Macaca mulatta: one gene and its partners. The protein of the gene in region 3 binds, or shares a complex with, the protein of the main gene of each other region. Links are inferred from orthologs where the notes say so. Each region holds a gene or a part of one and is shown on either strand. Other genes may lie near its edges.

Region 1 (4,270 bases), on a different chromosome or scaffold from region 3:
TCTCCCGTCTCAGGCTCCCGAGTAGCTGGGATTACAGGCATGAGCCACCATGCCCGGCTAATTTTGTATTTTTAGTAGAGACGGGGTTTCTCTAAGTTGGTCAAGCTAGTCTTGAACTCCTGACCTCAGCTGATCCACCCGCCTTGGCCTCCCAAAGTACTGGGATTACAGGCGGGAGCCACCATGCGGCCCCCTTTGGGTTCTTTAGATTGTTCAGACAAGAATATCAGACGCTCTCGCAATTAAAACATTTGGAAAGGAATTAATAGTGTCTTTTCATCAGGGACAGTGCTGACGACCCACAAGGGACCCCTTGATGGTTCTGGGCATGGGTGGCCAGCCTGGGCTCTGGCCTTGGGAGAAGCGACCGGGAGGTGTCTCTCACCCCTAGGCCTCCTGGTCCGGCTCCTGCTCAGGCCACTCGCGCGCACCGACCCCCGCGTGCCTCAGTGCAGGCCTCTGGGTGGGTGTTTAATGCTGCGCCCCAACCCAACCATGTAGATTTCAGAAGGGGACTAGGACCCCCAGCCCGGCAGATGTTTGAGACCACTGGCTTCCAAGCGCATCGTCTTGGGGATTTGCGTTGGCTCTTCAGCCTCCCCAGGCAATCTCTGTGTCGGGTCGGGAGTGGTAGGTCTGAGTTGAGCGGGTGCCTGAGATCCCCAGTGCAGACTGGGGGAGGGGAGTGCCCTCTCCGGCTGTGGTGAGAGCAGGAGAGGAACTTCGCGGGCCAGCTGGCGCGGAGCCTCGGGAAGACGGCGGGCACAGCAGGTGGTTTACGGGAAGCGTTGCAGCCTTCGGGTGGGGACAGCGCGGCGGGACCCGCCACCCCCGTCTGCACACCCGGGCTCGAGCGCCGAGGACGATGGGGGACGCGAGCAAATGGGGCCCGCACGGACCCGCGCGCCCGCCCCACGCCACGGCCTGGGTTTGGGGAGCCTTGCTTTATTCTGCCTTGGGTCGGGGGTTAGGGGAGCGGGACCTCTAGCGCCCGCGCGGCCGGGGAAGAGGGTGGAGGGGCCGCTTAGATGTACGAGTCATCGCCGCCGGGCTCATCGTGGGGACCCCTGCCAGGCCCCGCGCCCTCGCCCTCGTCGCCGCTGCCGGAGTCGCTGGCGCCATCCACGTCCAGGGTGGGCGTGTTGAGAACGACCACGTCTGCCTCCGCCCCGATGTCCTCGCCGAACCACACGGCCTTGTACCCGCCCTCCGGCCGCCGCTCCTTCGTCAGGATGGACCTCACCGCTGCGGGGCTTCCCCCGGCTACGGCCGCTGCCGGGGCCTCAGGGGCACTGCCCGAGGGCGCGGGGCCAGGGGGCGCGGGCTCCGCGGGCGTCGGCGGTGCCTCCGCGGGCTTGGCGTCGCTCGTGGGGCTGGGGGCAGGCGCCCAGTTGGCCTCGTCGTCAGGGAGGAACGCCTGGTTGTCATAGCCTGAGGGCTGGGGTTCCTGCTAGCAGGAGTGAAGGCGTCAGCGGGGTCCCTGGGTCTCTGCTGCCTTGTGGCCTCTCCACACCCTCATTCCACGGTGGACACCCCTCCGCCTCCACATATTCCCCTCTGCCCTCCCCTCTCCTGTCCCCCACTCCCTGCGGGTCGCCTGCCCTGCCCTCCACCCTGGGCCTCACCGGAGCTTTGCCGGAGCAGCACTTGAGCCGGGAGCCGTAGTGCTTGTGGACAAGGACAGTGAGGCCAAGGAGAGCCAGCAGCAGCAGTGCACCCAGCACCCCACCCAGGGCTGCCATGTCCACCACTGAGAAGCGCTTGTCCTCCGAGGGGCCGCCACCTGGCATCGCTGTGGAAAATGCCATCACCCCCGCACTGTTGAGCACCCCAGGCATTCCCCATGCCAACCTGTGCCAGGCTTGAGACACTTGGAAATCACCCAGGCCTGGGCTGTCTCCCAAATCTCAGGCTCTGCTGACCCTGGCTGGAGGGGCCTGTGTGTCCCAGTGAGACCCTGGGCTCCCCCCCCCCAACAAAGAGGCTGCTCACAGGAGGGGCAGGGGCCTGCAGGGTGAGCCGGCAGCTGTGGGAATCATGGGATTCGTTGGACCCCAAATCTGGCTTCTGTCCTACACACATCACAGTTCACCTCACTGAGGGCCTTTGGCCTGTCTGTGTCTGTCAGTCCCAAACAGACCCCTCTGGGATTTCATAGTCAGGCCAGGTCAGCCTGGGGTGGACCCTTCCTACAGCATTTCCCTACCACCCAGTGATCTGAGCCAGGGAGGGAAGGCAACGGAGTGGGTGCTACCTGAGGATGGGGTGTTCCTGCTGGGGGGCATCGGCAGAGAGGTTCCTGGCTCTGGGGTCTGAGCTGTGCCACCACCGGGTGTGGCTGGTTGGTGGGATGTGCTGGTTCCCACACCGGGGGGCATCGGCTGAGAGGTTCCTGGCTCTGGGGTCTGAGCTGTGCCACCACCGGGTGTGGCTGGTTGGTGGGACGTGCTGGTTCCCACACCGGGGGGCATCGGCTGAGAGGTTCCTGGCTTTGGGGTCTGTGCTGTGCCGCCACCGGGTGTGGCTGGTTGGTGGGAGGTGCTGGTTCCCACACCGGGGGGCCTCCCGGGTGTGGACGAGGTTGGTGGCCTCAGAGTTGTGCCAGAGGGTGGATGAGGGCCTGTGCCTCCCCCAGAGCTGGTTGTGGAGGGTCCCTGGGAGGGCACAGGGGGTCTGGGGGCCTCGGAAGTGGTGCTGGTCCAGGGCCCAGTTGTTCCTCCAGTCTCTGGGGATGGGGGCTCACCTGTGGAGGGGGGCTCCTGTTCGGAAACTTGTATCTCAATGACTGTGGTCGCAGTGCCAGAGGTCACTGTATTTTTGGCCTCAACCTAGGGCAGGAAGGGGCTTGTCTCTCCTGGGCACGTCTTTAAGCCCCACACCCTTGGAGATGCCCACCTGCCCTGCCCTTCACCTCTGCGTAGAAGGCCCCCGCCTGGGTCAGTGTGGTGGTGGTCAGCACAACCTCTCCCTCCATCCGGAAATGTGAGTGGTTGGTAATTCGATACGTGATGGCCGAGTTGAGGTCCTGGACAGGGTTTCATTGAGTCCCCGGCCAGGCTGCCTCCCATCTGCAGCCCTGACCCACCCACAGAGGGGAGGCCGGGTGGACCCAGGGACCCTGGGCAACAGGAAGGCTGCCGTGGGGGCGGCAGGCATCAGCCTTGCGTGTGCTACCTACCGAGAACTCCGGGTCCCGAGCCTGGACCCTCAGAGGCTGAGAGGGGGCAGCTGCATCCTTGACCACAACACCTGCTCCAGCGCCAAGTGCCACGGTGCCACGGTACAGGCTCTGGGGGAAGCGGGGCGGGCTCCCGGCTGCAGCCACAGCCTCCACGGTGACCTGGGTCACTGAGTAGCGGGCAAGGTCGGCCTGCTGGCCCTGGAGGCGGGGGAGGCAGCCGTGACTCGTGGGGTTGACGGTGGAGCTGGTGCTGAAGCCTGGGGCTCAGGAAGAATAGATGCAGACTTGGCAGGGGCCCTGCCCCCCCGCCCTGACCCCCGCCCTACCTTCCACCCTGCCCCCACTGCCCTGACCCCCGTGCAGGTCCCTACCTCACCTTCACCAGCAGAAGAAAGGTCATGGCTCTGGGGACACTCCTGGCCATGGTGAGGTTGCCGGAGTCTCGGTGGATGACAAATGTACCGTTCACGTTTCCTGGGAGGACGATGGAAGTGCTCAGTCCCGGCCTCCTGAGGCCCAGGGACCCAGCCAGCTCTGCCTTGCTGGCAGGTGCCCCTGGGGCTTCCCCAGCCCAAGGTGGGGACAGAGACAGGGACAGAGAGGGGTCCGGGGCATTGTTGAGGGCTGGGCCCCACTCACCACTGAAGATGCTGTAGATGATGGCTTGGTTGATGCCGCGGTCTCCATCCTCAGCGTAGATGGGTCCGGGACGCAGGACGAGGGGGGATGGCTTCAAGGATGGTGGAGAGGAGGGCACGTCGTGAGGCTGGGGTGGATGGCCCCAACCTGGCCCCTCTGGCTCCCCATCAAGGTCAGCCAGGGCAGGGCTGGCTGAGGAGGGGCCCAGTCCCGCTGGTGGCCGGGCATCCTTGCCTGTCTAGGACTGTCCCTTGTCCCAGTATCACAGTGAGTCACACCCCTGTGGGTCCCTCACTAACGAATAAGTTGCCCAAAGATACTGAGTTCCATTTGCACGATGCTTGTCTTGACGGCTAAGCAGACATTTAGGAAGCGGGGGGTTCCCGGGGTCTGCGTTTCTGCCTCTCATGTGCTGTTTGGTGGCCCCGGGTGCCTTGGTGCTGTGAAGGT
Region 2 (5,799 bases), on a different chromosome or scaffold from region 3:
GTCGCATCAACAAGCTCTCCCCATTGTGGGCACCTGACTCTTCTCCCATTCTCCCAGCTGAAAGGGAAGGATTGGGGAAGGAAGTGGCCTCTCTGATTCCTGACAGATTGTGCCGGGTATTCTGCCAGCTGCCCCTGTGGGCCAGGCATGAAATCAGAGTTCGCGGAAATCAGCTGCAGGTGAGTAAATTGGTGTTTTCCCTATAACTTCGGGGGAAATTAGGATCTTTTGGGCAAATTATTTACAACTGCAATGTAGAGTGAAAGAGAATCATGGGCTTTGTTGAGAAAAAAACAAGTCTTGTTCACATCACTAAACATTTTTTTGAGATACAGTTTCACTCTGTCACCCAGGCTGGAGTGCATTGGTGGAATCTTGGCTCACTGCAGCCTCCGCCTCCTGGGTTCAAGCAATTCTCCTGCCTCAGCCTCCTGAGTAGCTGGGATTACAGGTGCGTGCCACCACACCTGGCTAATTTTTGTATTTTTAGTAGAGAGAGGGTTTCACCATGTTGGTCAGGCTGGTCTCGAACTCCTGAATTAGGTGATCTGCCCACCTCGGCCTCCTAAAGTGCTGGGATTACAGCCATGAGTCATTGCACCTAAACTAAAACCTTTTAAGTAACATCTAGTCTCCTGGCTACTGCAGAAGTTACCCTGATAATGCACATGAAATATCTTTAAAAAAATGAATGAACCCTTATTGACCCCAAGTGTAAAAGCTTAAGCTTACAGCAAAAAAATACAATTACAGAAGGATACAGAGAAAAGGCAAAAGTCACTCATAATAGTACCACTGCTAATATTTAGGTGGGTAACTTTACAGACATGTTTCTACAAACACCACATACAATTTTTTAAAAAACTGGGAGGAAAGTTTAAATACTGTTTTGTAATCTGCCACTGTCACTTTATAACCTATTAAACATAAAGCTCTCTGTTACCATTTTAGGGTGGCCTAGTCTTCAATGTTGAGATAAATCTGTGTTTATATAACTTCCGTAATTATGAGCATTAAGGTAGCTTGCAATTTTTCATCATTATAAGCAATAACATCATGAGCATTCTGATACATTTCCTTGGTTAACCCTCAAGATAAATTCCTCAAAGTAAAACTTCTGGGTAAAAGGGAGTAGTGATCTAATAAGAATGTTTTGTTGTTGTAAAGCACTTGTAAGTTTCCCAGTGGGGAAACTGAGGCAAGGAAACTTGCCCCAACAGTGTCAGGGGCCAGGTGGAGAACTCAGATTTCCTGAGGCCTGATCAATGTATTTTTTTCAACATCTCTCATTGCTCTTTGAGATAACTAGATGTCTGCAGCCCATGTTCTAAAATAGGTGAATATAATGCCTAGACTCTATACAAGTGATGGGTGACATTTGCAATTACTAGGTTGGTGCAAAAGTGATTGTGGTTTTTGCCACTACTTTTATTTATTTATTTATTTGAGATGGAGTCTCGCTCTGTCACTCAGGCTGGAGTGCAGTGGCGCGATCACGGCTCACTGCAGCCTCCGCCTCCCGGGTTCAAGCGATTTTCCTGCCTCAGCCTTCCCAGTAGCAGGCGCCCACCACCACGCCCAGATAATTTTTGTGTTTTTAGTAGAGACAGGGTTCCACCATGTTGGCCAGGTTGGTCTCGAACTCCTAGCTTCAAGTGATCCACCTGCCTCAGCCTCCCAAAGTGCTGGGATTACAGGCGTGAACCACTGCGCCTGGCCCTTTGCCACTACTTTTAATGGCAAAAAACAATTATTTCTGCATCAACCTAAACAGTATTGATTCATGTGTTGCCTTTGAGGAGTAACCCGAGGCATCTGAAATAACACTGTAGATTAAAATGTTTCCCCGACTCCTTGGTCAAAAGGATCACATGGAGCTCTCATTAATGTCACAGATTCCTGAGTCCCACCCAAAGGCTACTGAATTGGACTCTCCAGAGGACGTGCCTGGGAAATATTTGCTTAACGAGCACCACAGGTGATTCTTATAATCAGGAAAACCTGGAAAATACCTGGAGGGAGGGAGGGAGGCGAGAAAATCTGTGGTGGCCAGTGGTTAACCTCTTTACAGGAATTGGTAGATTACATCCCAGTGGAATTGGGAAGAGGGAGCAAAATACAGACGAGTTTTTGGGGATAGAGATGGTAAAATGATTTCATTTTACAGCCAAAGCATGATAGCAATAGTTTCTCTTTCTATGCATATTTTCTGAAAAGTGGCACCATTTCTGCAAATGTAATTCATTACCGCAACGGTTAAGACTATGAGGAGAAGACATTAGAGGGAAAAGCATAGATGTGAGACTCAGAGCCCTGTTGAGAAGGTGGTCAGAGAAGTGATGGGTTAATGTGCTTATTCAGCCTCCCTCAGACCCCACCTCCCTCTCCACCCTGCTACGCGCTCCCCTCAAGATGGCGTCTTTTCTCCAGAGTGGGAAGTTTTTGTCTTGGAAAGGGCGACTTTGGTCAGAGCCCCCAAATTATGGGTTTCTAAAAGGTTAAGGGGCAGCACAGAGACCCCAAGCAGGAGATGCGGTGAGAAAGCCCACTGTGGCCTGGTGAAGCTGGTATGTGCACCAGAGATTAATTTTGTTTGTCTCACCTAACCCAGACCTGTGGTGTGCTAGGGACAGCCACCGAACAAATGGCTCCGGGCCCATGAGCATCAATGTCTAGGGTTCTGCTCTGGAAAAAGCAGGAAGCTACAGTGTGTTCAGCAGCTGACTTTGAACACAGGAAGAAATAGCTGCTCCGTAAAACAGTGTGTTCTATCAGGAGGTAGGAAAAACTAAAGTCTTTACAAAAATGATTCTTAATATTCTATTCTCACTTATAAGTGAGAGCTGAACAATGAGGACACAGGGAGGGGAACAACACACACTGGGTCCTGGTGGCAGGGGTTGGGGGGCCGGGGGATGGAGAGCATCAAAATAAATAGCTAATGCATGCGGGGCTCAATACTTAGGTGATGGGTTGATGGGTGCAGTAAACCACCATGGCACACATTTACCTATGTAACAAACCTGCACGTCCTGTACATGTATCCGGGAACTTTGAATTAAATTTTAAAAAATTGCACTAAATAGGCCCAGTGCGGTGGCTCACACCTGTAATCCCAGCACTTTGGGAGGTCAAGGCAGGCAGATCACCTGAGGTCAGGAGTTTGAGACCAGCCTTGCCAACATGGTGATACCCTGTCTCTACCCAAAATACAAATATTAGCTGGGCATGGCGGCACACACCTGTAAATCCAGCTACTCGGGAGGCTGAGGTAGGAGAATCGCTTGAACCCAGGAGGCGGAGGCTGCAGTGAGTCAAGATTGTGCTCACGCCATTCTCCTGCCTCAGCCTCCAGAGTAGCTGGGACTACAGGTGCCCGCCACCACGCCTGGCTAATTTTTGTATTTTTAGTAGAGATGGGATTTCGCCATGTTAGCCAGGTTGGTCTCCTGACCTCGTGATCTGCCCGCCTAAGCCTCCCAAAGTGCTGGGATTAGTGGCTGATACAGTGTTTCTTGACTCATTGATTTATAGAAATAACACTGATTAGCTGGGTACAGTGGCTCACACCTGTAGTCACGGCGACTCAGGAGGCTGAGGTGGGAGGATAGCTTGAGCTCAGGACTTTTAAGACCAGTCTGGGCAGCATAGCAAGACCCCATCTCAAAAAAACAAAAACAAAAACAAAAAAAACACTGATTAGTGATTGGCTATACATTGTTGAACTATAGGGTGCGAGTAATGGCGTCCAGTCTGGGCAACAAGAGTGAAACTCTGTCTCAAAAAAAAAAAAAAAAAGACACTAAATAAACAGCAGACCTCATTCAAATATATGCTTTCCACACTCTTTTTAATGAACCTTTTAAAATTTGCTAATTTATTATTATAAGGTGTTCCCTCTCCTCTTCTCTGCCCTGGGCTCTATGTAAGTATCATGAAACCATTTCTCTCCTGCTAACCACCAGGCATTTCTTGAAGGGAGTCTCATGCATAAAAGAAAGACTAGTTTTGTTGCCTCATCTGGGCAGATGCCTTCTTTCTGAAGTGCAGTTCTTATAAATGACAGTTTATAACTCTTAAATTCTGAATCTGCTGTCCTTGTTTTCCACAACAATTATAAAAATATTTTTGAAAGACAATCTAAATATCACCATTTAGAGATGATTGGATAAACTATGGAATACTCTTCAGCTACTGCAAATGATTCTATAGGCTCATTCAGATCTATGAATACTGATGTGAAAGATACCTGCAATAAAACTTGAATTTCAGGGCTATATATCTACTATGCTTTCATGTTTTGCTTTAATAGGAAAACGAAAAACCTGTCGACCTAAAGGAAGAAGATAATATAATTTTAAAGAGTTTACTTGAGCCAAAGTGTGGACAGCTGCCCGGGAAACACTTCCCTTGCCTTGGTGAGTTCTCCCCTTACAAGTTACAAGTGGGTTCTTTGTTTTTTGTTTTGTTTTGTTTTTGAGATGGAGTCTTGCTCTGTTGCCCGGGCTGGAGTGCAGTGGTGCAATCTTGGCTCACTGCAAGCTCTGCCTCCTGAGTTCACGCCATTCTCCTGCCTCAGCCTCCCAAGTAGCTGGGACTACAGGTGCTTGCCACTACGCCCGGCTAATTTTTTGTATTTTTAGTAGAGACGGGGTTTCACCATGTTAGCCAGGATGGTCTCCTGACCTCGTAATCTGCCTGCCTCGGCCTCCCAAAGTGCTGGGATTAGTGGCTGATATGGTGTTTCTTGACTCATTGATTTATAGAAATAACACTGATTAGCTGGGTACAGTGGCTCACACCTGTAGTCACAGCGACTCAGTACGCTGAGGTGGGAGGATAGCTTGAGCCCAGGACTTTTAAGACCAGTCTGGGCAGCATAGCAAGACCCCATCTCAAAAAAAAAAAAAGAACACTGATTAGTGATTGGCTATACATTGTTGAACTATAGGGTACGAATAATGGCATCTAGCGTATGGTATGAGTTATGGTGTCCAGTGTATGGCGTAGTTAGGTTAATTTTATGGCTCCTTGGTGTCAGTGTAGAGCCCATATATCAAGTAGCTCCAAGAGATAATTACTGAGCCTTAGGAGGAAGTAAGGTATGATAGTTGTCATGTTTCAATGCCTCTCTGGGCCTGATAATTTAAAGGGGCTTTGCATTCTTCAGATACAAAGTTTATTTTCTTTCTCAAACCTATGTGCATATTTATACTTTATGTGTCTGCATGTGGGTCTATACATATGTATTTGGATTACAAGTCAAGAAAGTTGTCCCAGAGAGTTGACAGCGTCATCCAGGAAAGGAGAGGGTTGCCAGCGTCCGGGGAGTCCACGTGGCTGTGCTGGGCATTTGCAACCATTGTCTGTTCTGATTTGTTCATGCTTTTGCTGTATGGGTTTTAAATACATTGAATATCATCCCCGGGAAAAGGATTAAGAAGATGCGAGGGTTGGAGCACAGAAAACATTTCCCCAGAATATGGTGCCTGGGCATGCCGAGTGCTTTGGAAAATCAAAAGGCTTTAGAAATAAGCCTCAGAATCAAGGTCTCTCTATCCTTGCCTTGTTCCCTTTCCACCCACAAAGTACAGGAAGGAACTCTCTCTGGAATTTCTTTAGTTGACCTAGAAAGCTTTTTTTTTTTTTTTTTTTGATAGGGCTTTGCTCTTGTTGCCCAGGCTGGAGTGCAATGGCATGATCTGGGCTCACTGCAACCTCCCTCACCCAGGTTCAAGTGATTCTCCTAAGCCTGGCTAATTGTGGGCTTTTTGTTTTTGCTTTTGCTTTTTCTTTGTA
Region 3 (5,032 bases):
TGATTAGATAGGTGTTTCCCTTCTGGGGTTTTCTTTTTCATATGTTGGAGCCCATATATTTTCTTTCTACCATTAAAGGCCTGAAGGCCTCAGCTCTGTGTCCACTGGGGCTCACGTAACCAACAAAGGCTGGAGCCAAGAACTTACCCGGACAGAAGCCACCTCCCGGTTGGGCAGCACAAGTTCAGGGATGATCACTGCAGGTGTGAATGGGAAGGGGGTCAGCAGGGTTGGGACACTGCCCACCTGGACCAAGGCTGGCCATGAGCACAGCTCAGGGCTCATCCCTCTAAATCTGCCCTCAACCTCTCTACCAAAAGAGACCCCCATTACAGTCACCACTGGGCCAGAAGTTAGCAAGTCATCCACCTCCCATTGTCACAGACCCACAGGACCATGAGGTAATGGAGGCATAGAGAGGCAAGGTCTGGCCCAGGGCCAGACAGTTAGGTCAGGCAGAGCCGGAATGGAAACTCCAATGTTGGCTGGGCGTGGTGGCTCACACCTATAATCCCAGCACTTTGGGAGGCCAAATCATAAAGCAGGAAAATCATTTGAGGCCAGGAGTTCGAGACCAGCCTGGCCAACACAATGAAACCCCATCTCTACTAAAAATACAAAAATTAGCCAGGCACGGTGGCACATGCCTGTAGTCCCAGCTACTCGGGAGACTGAGGCATGAGAATTGCTTGAACCTGGGAGGCAGAGATTGCAGTGAGCCGAGATCGTATCATTGCACTCTAGCCTGGGCGACAGAGTGAGATTCCATCTCAAAAAGAAAAAAAAAGAAAAAGAAAAAAAAAATTCCAGTGTCATCTCCTATTGCAGCCCTAGGAAGAGGCAGAATTAGAGGCCTCCCCCCTTTCTAAAAGTCCCCCCTGGGTCCATGGAGGGTCTGTGGGGGTTGCTCAAAGGTGGCCTCATGGAGCAGGGGTACGGTGTGTAAAGGGGGTTGCTGCTTACCAAAAGTCTTTTCCTCAGGCAGAAAATAGGGTGCATTGTCATTTATGTCCTCGATGGTAATGAGGAGGCTTCCTAGGAGACAAGATAAGCTGGCTTTGGCTCTGGGCAAGAGCTTGACCCAAGGAGCCTGGGCCTCAACCTGGTGGTCCCCAGCCTCAACCCCATGCCCCACAGCCTTAACCCCATGCCCTGCAGCCTCTCTCCCATGTGTTCCCCATGTCCAGTCCCCTCCCCTGCTCCTGACCCAGAATGCCTGCTCAGTCCCCTCCCCTGCTCCTGATCCAGAATGCCTGCTCAGTCTTCTCTGGCCTATGTGGGTGGGAGTATTATCCCAGACCTCAGAGCTAATAAGCAGCTTGTCAAAGTCACACAGCAATAGTGGTGGGCCAGGACTGGGCCCAGCCTAGGTAGATCTCACCTATGACATTATATGGACACATTCTAACTATGTAAGCTGGTTGTTTAAATGCCCATTCTCTGCCTCAGTTTCCTCATCTATAAAATTGGATAGGGACCGCCTACCCCACAGGTTGTGCGGAAATGCAAAAATGCTTACGAGGTGCCCAGTGTAGTTCTTGGCTGTCATAAGGACTCAATATATGCTAGTTGTTAATGTGGCTATTATTGCTATTTGGTGTCAGAAGTGGGATACAAGTACACATCTGACTCTGAAGTATGATCTTTCTTTCACAGCATCTTGCAAAATAATGGCATTACTTTGATGCTACTGCATGCCAGGCACTGCAATAAATGCCTTACATCCATGTTCTCATTGAATCTTCACAGCCAACCCTACTGCCCAACTCCACTGGACAGATAGGGAAACTGAAGCTTGGAGAGGGTTTGGGACTTTCCCAATATTTGCAGCTGGAAAGGGCTGGAGCCAGGATCTGAGCCCAGATCTTATAAGTCCCAGCCCAGGGCTCCTTCCCACAGCCCCTAAGCTGTGGCCTGCCAAGCCCTGCAAGGCCAGGCCACCTTACCATTGTTGCTGTAGGCCTGGAAGCCAGGGTCCGTGGCTAGGTCACAGGCCCGCACAACCAGCGTGACCAGGTCACAGGCCTCGTAGTCAATGGCTTCGCTCTGGTTGATGTACACAGAGCCGTTGGCCACCACTGAGAACCAGCCCCAGCACAGGCTGCCCACATCGACCCCGGCCTTGGTGCAGAGAATGTTCACAAGTTGTATCTCCAGCTGGGCGCTGGTGTCCACATCCGAGGCAACCACCACAGCCACCTGGCCATGCTGTGAGCCATTCTCAGCCACACGGATGCCCCGGAGTGAGGCTACATCCAGGGTGGGGGGATTGTCGTTCACATCTTTCACATTCACGTGGACGTCTACTATGGTCTCACTCCCCTGGGGGTCTGGGTTCTCGGCACTCACTGTCAAGTTGAAGACGGGCTGTGTCTCGTAGTCCAGGCTCACGTCCGGGGGCAGCCGGAGGTAGCCCTCAGCCCACCCAGCCCCCAGCACCAAGCCTCGGATCATGAAGTAGTTGGCACCACTCCCTGACAGGCTGAAGCTGATGCGGTTGTTGACTTCCGTCTGGTCTGCATCCCAGGCCTTCACCACGCCTACTAGCACTCCTGTGGACAAGGGGCAGAGCTCTGAGGGACTCTTGGCCCCGCCATAGGAAGCCTCCTCTGTCCTCGCCTCTCTTGGAACTCCAGATCCACCCTGACAAAGCCACGCCAGGCCCCAGCCCCAGTGACTCTCCTGGCCCAGGGAGCAAGTACCTGGATCCTCCTCCTTCACCGTAAAGTTATAGCTGGACTGGTTGAAGATGGGCAGGTTGTCATTGATGTCCTGCAGGCAGAGATAGGTCTGAGTCCCCGGGATCCCATCTCACCCTCCCCAGAGCCAACCTGAGAAACCAATAGTCCCTGTGCTCTGAGGCACCGGTTCTGCTAGTGCCCAGACCTCACTGCCCACTTCCCAGATGAGGAAACCGGCTCTGAGAGGAGGGAACTTGCCCAGGTCACACACCTGGGGTTCGGGACCTACAGTGGGACCTTGGCCTTACATATCCATCCTCAGGAAGCCCTGCTTGCTTCCTGTTTCTCTGACCACAGCTTTAGAATGTTCTAGACCCTGCTTTCTGGAAACACAGTTCTGGGTCCCCACCTGCGGCCCTGCCTGGCCCTGTTTGACTTCCATCTCTCGGATTTACTGTGTTGGCACCAATACCATTATATGTCCACAAAGGCCCCAAGGCCCACAGTTTCCCTTGTCCCCTCCTACCCCTGTCCCTCCTGCACACAACTGAGCCCACGACACCAGCTCTGTGCTTAGGCAGAGCTGGGCTCCGGGGACCTGCAGAAGCTTAGACCTGCCCCTGCCTTGGACACCAGCTGTTTTCAGCTCTCACCTCTGTGGCCAGCCCTAGCCCACTGGGCACAGCTGGAGCCCTGCAACTATTGTCACAGCCTGGAGGTGACTCTGCCCTCCCCTGTGTCCCCTAACACTGGCATGTGCTTGGGGGATGCCCTGAGCACGCCAGGCCTTCCCGGGTTTGTGGGTCACATAACAGGTGTTTGTTTTTCTGAATAACCCTAGAGTGAACATTTGGAAGACAGCGTCCTTGCACCTTAGCTAGATGTCTTTTCTGCTGCTAATTTCCCAGAGATGACATCATTGGCTCCATGCACAAGACCAGCTGCATTCTCAAGGTCACCCTAACTCACAGAAGTGGCTAAGAGCGCTGAGTCACATCTTGCTGCACCTCTGCCTCATGTGTGACCTTGACCTCTCTGGACCTCAGCATCCTCATCTGCAAAACGGGGTAGTAGTCCCACTAACAGGGCAATTGTGAGGACTACTCACAGGGGTGAAGAAACCTGTGCACTCAGGAAATGAAGTTCTCTCTTTGCAGCCCTCCCATCCCAAGGACAACCAGCAAGTCCTCATTCTGCTGCGATTTCTTCATTTCTGAGGTCTCACTCTCTGACCCTTGTGTGAAAATGGCACAGCCCAATCCAGGGGACATGGGACTGCTATGTGCAGTGGTGCTGGCTGTGCACTGCACAACCCTATGGGGTGCCATCTACATCACAGACATGGCAGAGGTGCACATTTGTTACAATACTGTTCCAGAGGAAGGTGACTTGTAGGCTGGTGGCAGCCTTAGAACCAGACTGATCGGAGTCAAAACCCCATTTTGTGACCCCAGGCAAGGTACTGAACCTCTCTGTGCCTCAGTTTCTTTTTTTGAGATAGGGTCTTGCTCTGTCTCATAGGCTGGATTGCAGTGGCATGATCATAGCTCACAGTAGCCTCAACCTCCTGGGCTGAAACGATCCACCTGCCTCAGCCTTCCAAGTAGCTGGGACTGCAGGTACATGCCACCATGCCTGGCTAATTTTTTATTTTTGTAGCGATGGGGTCTCGCTATATTGCCCAGCCCAGTCTCGAACTCCTGGGCTCAAGCAATCCTCTCACCTTGGCCTCCCAAAGTACTGGGGTTTTTGGCATGAGCCACCGCACCCAGGCCTGCCTCAGTTGCTCGATCAATAAAATGGTAATAAGCCGGGCTCAGTGACTTATGCCTGTAGTCTCAGCATTTTGTAAGGCTGAGTTGAGAGGATCGCTTGAGGCCAACAGTTCAAAACTGGCCTGGGCAGTAAGTGACACTCTGTTTCTATGAAAAATAAATTTTAAAAATTAGCCAAATTAGCCAGGCGTGGTGGCACGCATAGTCTTAGCTACTTAGCAAGCCAAGGCGGGTGGATTGCTGGAGCTCAGGAGTTCCAGACCAGCCTGGGCAACACGGAAAAACCCCATCTCTACAAAAATAAAAAAATTAACCAGGCATGGTGGCATGTGCCTATAGTCCCAACTACTCAGGAGGCTGAGGCGAGAGGATCACTTGAGCCTGGGAGGTTGAGTCTGCAGTGAGCCATGATGGCACTATTGCACTCCAGCCTGGGTGACAAAGGGAGACCCTGTCTCATAAATAAATAAATAAATAAATAAATAAATAAATAAATAAATGCAAAAAGGTAATAACCACCCCGACCTTGGGGGATGCCCTGATGTGCAGTAGTAATAACCACCCCGACCTTGGGGG
Region 4 (5,785 bases), on a different chromosome or scaffold from region 3:
CAGACGTCACCTCTTCAGAGAGGCCTTCCTGACTGCCCACCTTGTTACTTATTATCTCTCTCCCCATCTTAGTTTATTTCTTCATATAATTTATCACTACCTGGCATTACACGATACTTTTGTCGATTTCCTTTTAACTGTCTGTCCTCCCCACTAGAATGTACTGTCTAAGAGAGCAAGGGCATTATTTTGTTTTTCAGTGCTTAGAGTACTGCCTGGCATATATTGAGAACTCAGTCAATATTTATTGCCTATGTGAATGAATGAATGATTAGCAAATTCCTAGAGAGTGGTGGCTGTTTCTGATCTTCTTATTCATCCCACCAGGTCGTCCAATGCCTGGCCTCAGGCAGAGTACACAGCTATGCTCATAAATGTGTGACTGCTGAAGAGGCAATAAATACTTTTAAGCAAATGAGTAACCAAGTTCCTGCCATGTGCTGGTGCTGCGAACAGAGGAGCAGTCTCCTTTTGAAAGCTGCTTCTCTGAGGGAGAAAACAGTCTCTGACCAAGCCCTGCTCCCCCAAATCCTGGCCCAAGGTTGCTACTAGTTATTGGAAGGGCATGCAAGTGCTCCTGGCAACCTTGGGGTAACTTCACAAATCAAAAGGAGTTGATGCCTGGAGTCTGTTGGCTCACACTGGACACTCTGCAGGTATCAGTTGGAAAAAGTGTGGTTACTGTGGGCCCAGAGCAGCCAGTACTTTAATTGCTAGTCAGTCTTGTCTGTCTTGTGAGGTAAGTACCACAAACTCCATCTCACAGCTGAAGAAACTAAAACTCAGGGAGAGTGGGTGGCTTGGCCAAGGTCTTCCTGACAGTAACAGGGCTAAGATATGGTCCCAGTTCTGCTAACTCCAGATAATAAATAACAGTGGACATTTATTGAGGGCTCCCTAAGTGCTAGGGTCTGTTTAAGCTCCCCACACACATGTAGATCTCATTCAACATTCATGATAACCTTATTAGTTAAATATTGTTATCTCTTTTCACAAATAAGAGCACTGAGGCACAGAGAGATTAATTGAGTTGCTCAAGGTCACACAGCATTTTCCATTATAACACACTACCTTAAATATTACCTCCAACAACCAAGGATTTAGATCATAAACCATTTCCTCCAAAACACTAAGGAAGGTACCCCTACAAAGCAAACAACAGCAAGCTGTAAATTTCTCCCAGCATATCTGAGTGCCTCCTCTCTATCCCCTGCTGCTTCATCCTCTCTCCCAGTTCCTGGATGATCCCCAGCCTGGGAGGGGAAGGCTGTGGCTGTCTCCAAGGCAGCAAGGCACAAAGTCCAGCCTGGGCCTTGCCTAGCACATGGCGCCTGCCCTGCCAGCACACAGGGATATTAATAAGTAATGACTCTTGTGATGAGGAAGAGTAGGGCAGAGGAAACATGGAGGTCGGAGGCCCTTTGAAGCCTGTGGGACCTGGGGAAGAGGAACAGGGCAAACCCAGGGTCTGCATCAGACACCAGGGACCCAGGAGACGATTCTTGCAAAAGAGACAGAGTAGGTACCCCACAGAGTGAAGGCAGAAGACCTGACATTATTTCAGGCCAGGGGCAGGAAAGTGAAATTCAACCCTGAGTCTTGGGTTGGGGGACGGAAGGTTGAGCTCCTTCAAACTGGGTTGCCTGAAATCTACACTCACAAAATGTCCTTAGCGGCTGAAATTTCTTCCGACATGTCTCTTTGCAACAGGATGTACCGGTGAATGCTGTCTCAAGCTCCCCTTGGCATTCGCCAGCCCCTAAATTCCTACTGAACTTCCAGCTATCGCCCACCCGTGGGAGCAGGACCAGGGATGCCCAAGACCATGTTTTCAGGAGCCTTCTGCCAGTTTGAGCTGTCCCTTTGTGCCCCTACAAAAGCTTGGCCCCAACAGGCAGCACCCAGACATGGGTAATTACCAGAGTAGAGTCTGCTTCCCACCTACACCACCAGCAATTTGAGGGCACAGACTGGGTATCGCTGAGAGGATGCTCAAAACATGATTATTAAATGAATAATTGACCCTGGGCCCTTGGCCCCAAGCCCCTGCGGCCCCTACTCTGGCTGGCTCCTTGGGCTCCTATGGGCCTCTCTATGGGAAGGAAGGGGTTAAGGACCCTGACCTTCCCTACCTGAGCTCAGTCCTCAGACCAGGAAGAGGTTTGGCTTGGTCTAAAGACACTGCCCCCCTGGGGTCTTTGGGAGAGCCTTGGGTCACACAGTTGTTAATAGTTACCTGCCCCTTAGGCAGGGCCTGTGGGGAGATCCAGATTCCACCCCCACTCCCCCAACCCTCCGTGGCTTCATCCCCAGACTCAGAGGCATCCTAAGGCCTGGTGAAGAGGTCGGCTGGATATCTTTGATGACCCTCTCTGGTCTCAGGGCCTCAGCAGATTCTGCATAGCTTTGTGAATTGTTCTGGAAATGCCCTGTGTAAAATCCAGCCGCTTCCAGTGATGGTCCTTTCGGATCCCAGACCACCAGTAAGGCCCCTCACTGGGACACGCCAGGGTGGACCCGGCTCTGCCTGAAGGATCTGGCTGGCCAGAGCCCAGCTCCCACGCCCTCAATACCTCCTCCCTTCCTCCCCACCGCACCCGGGTCAGCACCAGCTCCTCAGCTACTTCTCAGGCCCTAAGAAACGCCCTTAGGCAGGCAGGGCTGAAATGCTTCTAACTCATGTTCTGAGGTCAAAAGGCAGAGAGAGAGACGTCTAGTTTCCCTTCTCCCAACACTCACCTCTCAGATACTGCCCCAGACTCTCTCCACAAGCCTCATCAGCCCTGAGCTGGGGGCACTAGGAAGGAGAGGGACTTGCCCACAAAGGGGGCACCTCAGAGAAGCGGCCAAGACTGGAAGGAATTCAAACCCCCGAGACGTCCCCGCCCCTGGAAGGCAGAGGGAGAAAGCTTGGCAGAAGATCGATCTGTTTAGCAGTACCTGAGCCCGGAGTCCCCGTGTTCCCTCCCTCACTTTACTGGGGATCCCTGCTGCCAGTCAAACGACCTTCGGGTGTCCCAGCCCACCCAGAGCCATCAGGTGGGGCCGGAAAAGGGAGGGGCAGTGCCGGGGTGTCCACCCCTTACCCACCGCGCCCAGGACTCCGGAGTCCCAGAAGCCTGGGGCGCCCCACAGCTCTGACCTTATGCCGGAATTCTCGGGCCACTTTTCGGTCCATGGCTGGGCCAGGTCCAGCTGTGTCGTTGAACGACCGGTTCCTTCGGGTGCCCGGCTGCCAGGAGCTGGAAGGAACCGCGACCGCGACCCGGCCAGCCGCCCTCCGAGCTGGGGACGCGGCCTGAGCGCGGAGGGGCGGGGCCGGGCCGCTGTGGGGCGGGGCCGCTGCGAGGCTAGAGTTGCAGGTGCTCAATCGTCGCCTCCCCCTGAAGCCTGGGAGCAAATGGACCCAGTGTGCCTATGGGCCTGTGGTGGCAGTAGCTGGGCTTCAAGCTGGTATTTCTCTTGACGTGGTACCTGATCACATGCGTTTGAGGAAGAAGATCGTGGAGATGTAGGGAGGAGGTTTGGGACTTTTTGTGATGACTGGAATAGAGAGATCCGGAAACTATTCACACGGGTGGGCAGGGGGCGGGGCAATCTAGTCCATCTTCTCTGGATACTCCGGAGGGCTCATGGCCCTCCTGGACTGTCAGCCCTTGCTACGCCTTCACCTTCAACGTACCTTCTGTCCTAGCTTCCTCCTGCACTTTTCCACCAGGGAGAAATCAATCCTTGCTCTGTGAATTCCTTGGGGGCAGGGCCAGGTTTTACTGTGGGCCGCAGGGGTCTGAACCAGTGGGTATGGGAATGGCCCTCTCAAGTGATTTCCCCTCCCACCTTCCCTAACACCTCCACTCCCAACAAAACAAGACAAAACAAAACCCAAACCCAACACACTCCCATATCCATCGAAGCCTGGCGGAGCCTGGCAGTGACATTTTGATCTATGGCTGACCTTCACCCAGGGCCCAGACCCTCTGGTTCATTTAATTCAATTTGGTCAACATTTGCTTAACTCCTAGGTCTGGTGCTGGGTGCAAAGACAAGGATGAACCAGGCCTGGAAAGGAATGAAAGGAAAGAGGGGCTAGGAGAGGGGTGATAAAAACGTGTAAATCAGGGGCTGTTAAGTATGGGGCTTGTGCCTGAACTTAACCCAGGGAGGCACCTGCGCCCTTTGCACCCTGTCAAGCGCAGGGGCAGGGAGATGGACAGCAGCTTACATCAGGTAACCACTTAAAATTGTAACTTTGGGGCACCTAAACACCCCTCTGCATCCCTTTCCCCAATAGCTGAAGTTTTACAAGCACACTATTTTTGTTTGGGCTAAATTATTGCCTAGTTTAAGATGTAAATCCCTCTTGAAGAAGAGCCTTAAAATATGATCTGTTTTCTCACCTTAGTATTAACTATTAAGTCAGTGATAAAAGGGAAAGACTTGTGGGATTTTTGAATGGTCCAGAAAAGGCCACACAAAATGCATTGCCCTCTGACTTACTTCATTGATTCTCTACATTGAAAAAGAATGTCATATGGCTGTTTATTTTGTATTTAGAATCCTGGCAGAGGTGAGTGAATGTTCTTACCCAGGAGAATGCTGTTCACCTGCCACCCCAATCCTTATTTTACATTGGTCATCACCCCCACAGACTCCCTCCACCTTAAAATGCCCCCTGCTTTGTTTTGAGAATAGCATTGAGACCTAGTTCTCCTTTCCATGAATTTTTTTTTTCAAGCTTCCTTGGAGACAATCAGCTTTTGCCTATTTCTTAACCAGTGTTCCTTAAGGCTGCATCCTTAGCTCTTTCCTCTTCATCTTCCTATCTGTGCCCCTAGCTTCCTCCTGTGTGAAGATAGCTATGTGTGCTTTCTTTACCACTATATGCCTAGAACAATGCATGACATGGAATCAATGCCAAACAAATTTGTTGAGTGAATGAATGAATGAATGAATGAATGAATGAATGCATCTCAAATCTATGCCCTTGCCTAGGAGTCTACTGGGGCCAATACCACCACCACCACCACCAACATCATCATCCTATGTAAGACCTGGCATTTAGTTGGTGTTCCCTAAGTGCTGATGAAGTGAACGATGTACAGGTTCCCCAGGTGCTCAGTCCCATGTTTTCACCATTTTAAAATTCCTCCTGGGCAGACAGTGGACCTTGTTCACACATATAAAGTTGTTTTGTCAAAGTTTGGCCTTGATGGTGGCAACAACATAGGAGTATGAAACACATTTATTATTCAGTCGTCATTTCCTGAGCTAGGGCAGGAGATTGTGCTGGGCATTCAGAGGACTAAGGCATGATTCATTCCTTAGAGGTGCTCAAAACTGGTCATAGGATAGGGATGTGGAGACCCAGGTGGAAGTTGAGGTGGGGCGTGGTGGGACATAGGCTAGGACTCCACAGGCTCTGCTATTGACCACTGACCCCTGAGTGGCATGTCCCAGGGCCGCAGCATGGCCCTCTGTAAAAGGAGAGGATAGGGTCAGACTCATACCCGCATCTTGGGTCTCTGGTATTGGGCTTCCAGGACCCAGGTAAGGGGAGCTGGAGTTTGCACAGGCTACCTCTTTGCTCCCCTAGAGAATTTAGGGCTGAATAATTTGAATCCAACCTCCCCTGGGGAGGCGTAGCCACAGGCCAAGAAGAGCAGAGGCTGGGTTATGGACAGGAGCCTAAATTATGGTAATAAGCTGGGCACTCCTGTCACTCTATAGTTCGGGGAGGAGCTGAGAGCCTGGGAGGAGGGGCTGAGGGAGCTCTGGGGCATGAGAG

The links.
Region 1: CDHR2 (region 3) and CDHR5 share a complex: the UniProt entries of both Homo sapiens proteins name them as parts of the IMAC/intermicrovillar adhesion complex. The link is inferred for Macaca mulatta from reciprocal best matches to the Homo sapiens genes CDHR2 and CDHR5.
Region 2: CDHR2 (region 3) and ANKS4B share a complex: the UniProt entries of both Homo sapiens proteins name them as parts of the IMAC/intermicrovillar adhesion complex. The link is inferred for Macaca mulatta from reciprocal best matches to the Homo sapiens genes CDHR2 and ANKS4B.
Region 4: CDHR2 (region 3) and USH1C share a complex: the UniProt entries of both Homo sapiens proteins name them as parts of the IMAC/intermicrovillar adhesion complex. The link is inferred for Macaca mulatta from reciprocal best matches to the Homo sapiens genes CDHR2 and USH1C.

The regions. Positions count from the first base shown.
Region 1 is NC_133419.1:511,160-515,429, forward strand, and holds the end of CDHR5 (cadherin-related family member 5), read right to left. Parts: intron 3,912-4,270; coding exon 3,821-3,911; intron 3,656-3,820; coding exon 3,558-3,655; intron 3,380-3,557; coding exon 3,179-3,379; intron 3,026-3,178; coding exon 2,912-3,025; intron 2,829-2,911; coding exon 2,255-2,828; intron 1,793-2,254; coding exon 1,626-1,792; intron 1,451-1,625; coding exon 1,025-1,450; 3' UTR 930-1,024; downstream 1-929. UniProt on the Homo sapiens protein: Intermicrovillar adhesion molecule that forms, via its extracellular domain, calcium-dependent heterophilic complexes with CDHR2 on adjacent microvilli. Thereby, controls the packing of microvilli at the apical membrane of epithelial cells.
Region 2 is NC_133425.1:21,123,878-21,129,676, forward strand, and holds the start of ANKS4B (ankyrin repeat and SAM domain-containing protein 4B), read left to right. Parts: upstream 1-2,070; 5' UTR 2,071-2,145; intron 2,146-2,611; 5' UTR 2,612-2,778; intron 2,779-4,312; 5' UTR 4,313-4,418; intron 4,419-5,799. Other genes in the region: ZP2 (zona pellucida sperm-binding protein 2), read right to left, coding at 1-49. UniProt on the Homo sapiens protein: As part of the intermicrovillar adhesion complex/IMAC plays a role in epithelial brush border differentiation, controlling microvilli organization and length. Plays a role in assembly of the complex.
Region 3 is NC_133411.1:185,529,546-185,534,577, reverse strand, and holds part of CDHR2 (cadherin-related family member 2), read right to left. Parts: intron 2,773-5,032; coding exon 2,703-2,772; intron 2,553-2,702; coding exon 1,947-2,552; intron 1,036-1,946; coding exon 964-1,035; intron 198-963; coding exon 148-197; intron 1-147. UniProt on the Homo sapiens protein: Intermicrovillar adhesion molecule that forms, via its extracellular domain, calcium-dependent heterophilic complexes with CDHR5 on adjacent microvilli. Thereby, controls the packing of microvilli at the apical membrane of epithelial cells.
Region 4 is NC_133419.1:47,920,651-47,926,435, reverse strand, and holds the start of USH1C (harmonin), read right to left. Parts: upstream 3,546-5,785; 5' UTR 3,179-3,545; coding exon 3,143-3,178; intron 2,889-3,142; exon of another isoform or gene 2,740-2,888; intron 1-2,739. UniProt on the Homo sapiens protein: Anchoring/scaffolding protein that is a part of the functional network formed by USH1C, USH1G, CDH23 and MYO7A that mediates mechanotransduction in cochlear hair cells. Required for normal development and maintenance of cochlear hair cell bundles.